Pelodiscus sinensis: one gene and its partner. The protein of the gene in region 2 interacts with the protein of the main gene of each other region in a biochemical or structural test. Links are inferred from orthologs where the notes say so. Each region holds a gene or a part of one and is shown on either strand. Other genes may lie near its edges.

Region 1 (3,745 bases), on a different chromosome or scaffold from region 2:
CAGGCAAATGTGATGATGGGGGGAGGGGGTCTCTCCTTATCTCCCCAGGGCCGTTTGTGCCAGAGAGCTTGGGCATAAATAGCTGCTGCTGGACAGGGCAGGATGGGCTTAGATAGGGCACCTGTAGGTCGTGACTATGGTGCAATGGCAGAGCTGGGTTGGGGGGGCCACAGGGATTTCCCTACCCCCCTGAATCTCCCCAACACCCCCCCAGTTTTGTGAACTATGGTGCCATACAGCCCACCTTCACCCTCACGGTCTCACCCCTCATTGACCCTGACAGCCCCCCCCCGGTAAATTTGAACACCCCCCATTTCAATTCCTGGGGGGCCGGCCTGGAGCAGCGAGGCCTGGCCAAGCGAGAGCTAGGGGTGGGGGTGTCAGGGTTAAGAAGGCACCAGCAGGGTCACAGCTCGGGTCAAAGGTCATCGCCAGACTATACCGGTGGCTGTGGTCAGGACTGGGGCGGGGGGGGCGCCCCACAGCACCTGCCTGGCTCCAGCCTGTGCTGCGCCCTCGCTCCCAATCCACATTTAGAGGTTTCCCACCGGCTGGGCCCTGCTTGGCCTCCAGCCGACTGCACCCAGAGCTGCTCCTTTGCCGAAAGGCTGCAGGTTCATTTCCCCCCTTTCCACTTCAAACTCTCCCCGCCCTCAATTAATTCAGCACCAGGACGAACCCACTGCTGCTGCCATCCCTGCCTGAAACACTAGAGCCGCACCACCAGCTGGGCTGGGCTCCGGCTTGAACCCGGAGGGGGGAAAGGGGAGGACAAGTGGTTGCTTGCTTGGGGGCTTACACATGAATGAAACAGCCTGGTTTGCTGCTCCATCTCGCTCCCACCCACTTGATGTGAGCCTGACAGGCGGGGGGGGGAGGGTGCATGAGGCAGGGAATAAATGGGGCAGGGGGTGACGGGGAGAGTGGCGCTGAATTATTTTCTGCGCTTGACTCTAGTTCTAAGCCCCGCTCCCAACACGCAGGAAAAGCCTGTGTCCATGTTTGGGCAAAACCCAGCTGCAGTGCCACTCGGGGCCCCGGTTCCCAGAGCGCAGGGCCCTGCAGGGCTGCAGCCCCACTGCCCCCAAAGCCAGCTGCAATCAAATCCGGGGGCCTGCCCCCCAGCCTGCCGAAGGCAGGGGAGCGGCTGGGGGAAAGGGCCAGACAGCTGTGTGACCCTAGCAGGCATGCAGCCGCAGCACAAGCGGGCGCCCGTGGGACCGAGTGGCCGTGGCACAGAGCAGCCGGCGCCCGCACACCCCATCCCGGCAGGATGGCGAGCTGAGCGCCCGCTTTCCCCTCCCTGCACCCCTCCCCCCGCCTGACAGCTCTGGCGTGCAAGCCCAGCGAGACGCCCTGCCCCCCCACTGGTTTGGTGAGGAGAAAATCCCAACAAGCCTTTAAAGACCCCAGGGGCCACCCCAGCTGGGAGGGGGGAATCTCCCCTCCCCACCCTTGCACACTGGTCCACTGAGGGGCAAATCCAAAGGAGCCAGGGGCCATCCCAGCCCCACACCACACCCCCGCCCCCCGCACATCGGGTCATTGAGGGGCAAATCCCAAAGAGCCAGGGGCCACTCCAGCCCCACACCGGCCAGAGGGGGGGCTCCCCTCTCCTCCCCCCGCACACTGGTCCACTGAGGGGCAAAAACCAAGGAGCCAGGGGCCCCCCCAGCCCCACACCAGCCAGAGGGGGGGCTCCCCTCTCCTCCCCCTGCACACTGGTCCACTGAGGGGCAAATCCCAAGGAGCCAGGGCCCCCCCCCAGCCCCACACTGACCAGAGGGGGGGCTCCCCTCTCCTCCCCCCGCACACTGGTCCACTGAGGGGCAAAAACCAAGGAGCCAGGGGCCCCCCCAGCCCCACACCAGCCAGAGGGGGGGCTCCCCTCTCCTCCCCCTGCACACTGGTCCACTGAGGGGCAAATCCCAAGGAGCCAGGGCCCCCCCCAGCCCCACACTGACCAGAGGGGGGGGCTCCCCTCTCCTCCCCCCGCACACTGGTCCACTGAGGGGCAAATCCCAAGGAGCCAGGGCCCCCCCCAGCCCCACACCGGCCAGAGGGGGGGCTCCCCTCTCCTCCCCCCGCACACTGGTCCACTGAGGGGCAAAAACCAAGGAGCCAGGGCCCCCCCCAGCCCCACACCGGCCAGAGGGGGGCTCCCCTCTCCTCCCCCCGCACACTGGTCCACTGAGGAGCAAATCCCAAGGAGCCAGGGCCCCCCCCAGCCCCACACCGGCCAGAGGGGGGCTCCCCTCTCCTCCCCCCGCACACTGGTCCACTGAGGGGCAAATCCCAAGGAGCCAGGGCCCCCCCCAGCCCCACACCGGCCAGAGGGGGGGCTCCCCTCGAGCATGCACAGCCCCCCCCCCCGGGCCTCCGGGGGTCCCCGCCCCGCGCCGCGGGGCCACTCACTGGCTTTGCCCGGCTTGGGCCGCTGCAGCAGCTTCTGCACCGTGCCCACGTCCTCCGCCTTCACCGCCTGCATCAGCTCCTGGTCCTTGCCCATGGCGCGGCCGGGCGCGGCGGGCCGGGGCCGCGCTCAGAGGCCGAGCATCCTCCGGCCGGGGCGCGGGGCCCCGAGCCTGCGGCGGGCGGGGCGCGGGGGCCGCTCGGAGGCGCGGGCGCCGCAGAGCCCGGGCGCGGCGCGGCGGGGGGAGCCGGGGGGCGGCCCGCGCTGCAGGAGCCCCCGGGGGCGCCCCGGGCTGGGGGCGCGGCCGCTCCCCGCTAGCGGCGCCGGTGCAGGGCTCCTGCCCCCCTGCGCCGCGCCGGCTCCTCCATGGCGGGGCTGGGCTGGGGCCGCCGCCGCACGCGCGCCGCTCGCTGGCTCGCCGCTGCCTCCCCGAGGCGGCTCCTCCCTGCCCAGCCGGGCGGCCGCGGCGCCCGCCCGGGAACCCCCCGTGCAAGGCCGGCCGGGCCGGGACCACCCCCTGCGCCGCGGGCTCCTGCCCCGCCCTGGGGCGCACGGGGGGCACCCGAGCCCCCCTCCTCGGCGGGCGGGGGATGGAATGGGGGTGTCGGTGCACCGGGGGGCCTCCTTGGACGCACTGTCCGGGGGGATGGAATGGGGGTGTCGATGCACTGGGGGGGCTCCCTGGACGCGCTGTCTGGGGGGATGGAATGGGGGTGTCGGTGCACTGGGGGGCTCCCTGGACACGCTGTCTGGGGGGATGGAATGGGGGTGTCGATGCACTGGGGGGCTCCCTGGACGCGCTGTCTGGGGGGATGGAATGGGGGTGTCGATGCACTGGGGGGCTCCCTGGACGCGCTGTCCGGGGGGATGGAATGGGGGTGTCGATGCACCGGGGGGGGCTCCCTGGACACGCTGACTGGGGGATGGAATGGGGGTGTCGGTGCACTGGGGGGCTCCCTGGACACGCTGTCTGGGGGGATGGAATGGGGGTGTCGATGCACTGGGGGGCTCCCTGGACACGCTGTCTGGGGGGATGGAATGGGGGTGTCGGTGCACTGGGGGGCTCCCTGGACACGCTGTCTGGGGGGATGGAATGGGGGTGTCGATGCACCGGGGGGCTCCCTGGACACGCTGTCTGGGGGGATGGAATGGGGGTGTCGGTGCACCGGGGGGCTCCCTGGACACGCTGACTGGGGGATGGAATGGGGGTGTCGATGCACCGGGGGGGCTCCCTGGACGCACTGTCTGGGGGGATGGAATGGGGGTGTCGGTGCACCGGGGGGCTCCCTGGACACGCTGACTGGGGGATGGAATGGGGGTGTCGATGCACTG
Region 2 (3,745 bases):
CACTATTAACCCACTTACATCACAAAAACATTGGTTTACAGACCACATGAATCAGAAAACTATTTAGAAAATTTAAATAATGTATTTGCACACAAAATAAGTCATTTTACAGTGTTGGCTATAACCACTAGACACATATATTATGCCTGTTATGCCCTTTTTACTACCCATAACTATGTATGAGTACTACAATTCACACACAATACTATCACCTGAAGAAATCTTGTGACAACACAACACATGATCAGAAAATGTTCTTCCTACTGGTATTAGTTTTGTCCAATTTCTTAACCATAGCTTTTTACCATCTGATCAGCATTAGTTAAGCCATTTTTTCTGCTATCCAACAAAAGCTTCTTTAAAGCTTTATAGCTGACAAGGTGTCTTATAAAGGCAATAGGTGCTGTTAAGACAATTGAGCCCTATAATAAACAATAAAATGAAAAGTGATCAAATATTTGTAGTTAAGAACAAAGAAATCTGATCTTAAGACTGACATGATTGTTTCCTCAGAGTTACACTGTCATTGGAGAAAGATGAGTATTTTAGCTCTAGTTTTCAAATCAAACAATTACTGACATTTAAGGTAAGTCATATTGCAAAACATTAAAAAAATAAAAGAACACTTTTTTTTTAAATCAAGAATATATTGTAACTAGTGATCCTTACACAAGGCTTCTAAAAACAGTGAGCAACAAAATGAAAACAGTTTCACTGCTGAAACACCTACAACCTCAATTTTCGAACAAGAAATATGCATAAAATTAGGAAGTTATAAGACTGCAAATATGGTGCATGTCCTTTTCATATCCATTTTGCAACCAAAACATCTATGCCCTGAAGATATGAAATGTGAGAAGACTGATAAAATGGGTTTCAATACTGGACTGTCACAGAAGAGGGGGAACTTCAGCTTCAATTTTCCATCAACGTCCCGATCAGACTGAGTCTCTGCATTTTTTCTAGTATAATTACCCAACACAGATCGATAAAAAAAAAGGTGGAGGACTCGAACTGTCAATTTCAATACATCCTACCCCACTGGTGAACCATCAGCGGTGCCACGTTAACAGCTATCCCAACTTGGGTGTGATGCACGCCTTCAACATCGGTTTAACAGCAGTTGCATAATAAGCCCCCAAAAGGCCAAATTCTTTTCCTGCGTCGTTGTTCCGAGCGGGCGGTGGGCAACGCAAGGGGCTCACACGGGAGCTGAGCATTACCTGAGTATCATCACCGGCATTGCCACTAGCGAGCTGGTTACTATGCAGCAAAGCACAAGCAGGCACCTGGCGCCCCAACGCGCAGATGCCCCCACGGAGAGGCGGTTCTACGGAGGAGCCTTTCCCTGCTCCACAGAGCCGGGCTGGGGAAAGCGGCGGCTGCTCTCGGCAGCCTGGCTGGGAGCCGGGGAGCGCGGCGGCCGGAGGAGAGAGACCGGGTCGCTGCTCCCCTCCGCGCCCATGCTCCGAGAGGCGGGCGCCGCCGTGAAGCCACTGCGGCCGCACGTAGCGGGGGGAGCGGGGGACACACGGGCACGGCGGCGGCGGCTCAGGTGGGCGCCGAGCGGAGCATCCCTCTCCCCGCGCGCAGGGGCCGGGCCGCTCGCTGCTGCTGCCGCCGCCCCCCGCCTCCGCGGAACTTACTTGCCGATCACCTCGCAGAGCTCGTACACGTCCTCGAACAGCACGTCGTCGTCGGCCATGGTCCAGGCGGGGGGGGACCCGCCGGAGAGGCGGCCCGGGGGAGGGGGGCCCGCGGGCACGATCCCCTCCGCGCTCCCCGTCGGGCACCACCTTCGATCCCAGCCTCCGCCGCCGCCGCCCGGGGGCTCCCGCGGCCACGCCGGGAATCCCCGCTCCTCCTGCGGGCCGCGGCCGCCCCGCGCGCCTCACGCTGGCTCCGGGCTCCCGCGGCCCCGCCCGCTTCAATCGCTCGCTCGCTCCCTCCCGCCCTTCGCCGGCCGCGGATCCGGCTAGCGGGGCGGAGCGGGCACCATGCAGGGGCCGGGTAGCGGAGGAGGCGGTGCGCGCGCGCGAGAGAGAGGGGGGGAGGGGAAGGGGAGGCAGGCGCGACCCCGAGCCGCACTCCGGGGCTAACGGCGGCGATAAAGCGCTTTACCGGCCGGCCGGCGGGCGCGCGCGCCACCACGGCCACTTCCCCAGCCCCGTCACGCAAGAGAGCAGGCGCGCGCGCGCGCGCCCCCCACCAAGCAAGCACGCGGGCACCTTCTTCCCTCCCTCGCCACAAACGCGCGCAGAGCCACGCCCACTATCCCCCCGGGAAAACTGGGACTGGGCGCTGTGCGCAGGCGCGCCGCGGTGCCACATGACGTCATGGGGAGGGGTCGAGCAGGGCGGAGGGGGTAGGCGGGTTCCCATGTGAAGCTCGGGGCGGGGCCATCCCCCTGCCTAGTTTCTGAGGCAGGAGGCGCGCGCTGTGTGGCTCATTGAGGAGCGGGGAGGGGGGAGTCGTAGGGCCGGGAGGCCGCGCCCAGAACCCGCCGTGGGACCAAGGCGCTTGTCGGCAGCAGCGGCCGCGTGCGCTCAGCGCCCGGGGATAGTAGAGCGGCGCGGGGAGCAGCTGCCGTAGGGTGTCTCCGCCCGACGCGGGGGTTTGACGGGCGCAGCTTGGCCGGGCGAGGAAGTAGCCAGCCAGCCAGCCAGACGGACCGTGCAGCAAGTGCTGGCGGCGTCCCGCGGGAACAGCCCGAAGGGAAGAGGAGAGAAGACCTTGCTAATCTCACTCTCAATGACTGCTGCCAGGTGGCAAGGAGGTTCACAGCGACGTGCAGTCGCTTTTAAGGTGGCAGCCCCGCCTCTCGCCTTTGCTTGTCAAATGCTTTGCTCGTAGTCCAGTGAAATGAACGTTTAAAGCGCCATTCGTTTCCCAGTCCACAAGTTGGTCAATATCGTTTCTAGTAACAATCATGCCAGCAGTTTCAGCAGGAATGTATAGAACCTCGTTCCCCTAAAACAGGGCACAGTGGAGCCCTTTTAGTTATAAAAGGGGAAAAGTCAACCTCTCCAACTCAGGTTTCATCCAAATATGAATGGTTGATAAGAATTGATCACTGATAAGAACTGATCATCTGAAGAAGTGGGCTGTGCCCACGAAAGCTCATCATACCATCTACATGTTTGTTAGTCTATAAAGTGCTACCAGACCATTTGCTTGCTGTTTTTCACTGATAGGGAGCCATAAACTGCACAGAACTGTGTCAGGCTGCATAACACTGATAGTATCAGAAATATATTCTGATGTAAAGAGAATGCTAGTGAGAATGTGACAAAGGTGTACATATTTACTTTCTCAGTCTCAGCGAAAAATACATTGTGGACCTATTCTGCATCTTAAAACAGTAAATGTCTGACATGGTCTGGTGCTTGTCAGGAGTTTCCCAGTCAGTTCCGGAGACATCAGCAATAAACCCATAATAAGAAGCCTAAGTAATTCCTAGACTGTATCAAATAACTCAGTCAACTGGGCTTGGAAGTATGAGATGTAGCATGGTAGTCTGTGGAGTATTACTACTCCATTTCTCAAATGCAAGTCAGAATCCTCTCAAGTCCAATACAAATGAGATGTCTGTATCACCACCTTAACACTCCTGTTCCATAGTGAACCAAATCAGCTAGTAATAGAAATGTAGCTGTGTTAGTCTGGGGTAGCTGAAGCAAAATGCAGGACTAGATAGCACTTTAAAGACTAACAAGATGGTTTATTAGATGATGAGCTTTCATGG

What was found.
Region 1: the proteins of CASK (region 2) and CASKIN1 interact in a biophysical measurement, tested with the Homo sapiens proteins (2 studies listed by IntAct, with this or other methods). The link is inferred for Pelodiscus sinensis from reciprocal best matches to the Homo sapiens genes CASK and CASKIN1.

What each region holds. Positions count from the first base shown.
Region 1 is NC_134726.1:38,596,647-38,600,391, forward strand, and holds the start of CASKIN1 (caskin-1), read right to left. Parts: upstream 2,840-3,745; 5' UTR 2,510-2,839; coding exon 2,416-2,509; intron 1-2,415.
Region 2 is NC_134711.1:194,356,682-194,360,426, reverse strand, and holds the start of CASK (peripheral plasma membrane protein CASK), read right to left. Parts: upstream 2,263-3,745; 5' UTR 1,706-2,262; coding exon 1,647-1,705; intron 1,259-1,646; exon of another isoform or gene 1,244-1,258; coding exon of another isoform or gene 1,224-1,243; intron 1-1,223. UniProt on the Homo sapiens protein: Multidomain scaffolding Mg(2+)-independent protein kinase that catalyzes the phosphotransfer from ATP to proteins such as NRXN1, and plays a role in synaptic transmembrane protein anchoring and ion channel trafficking.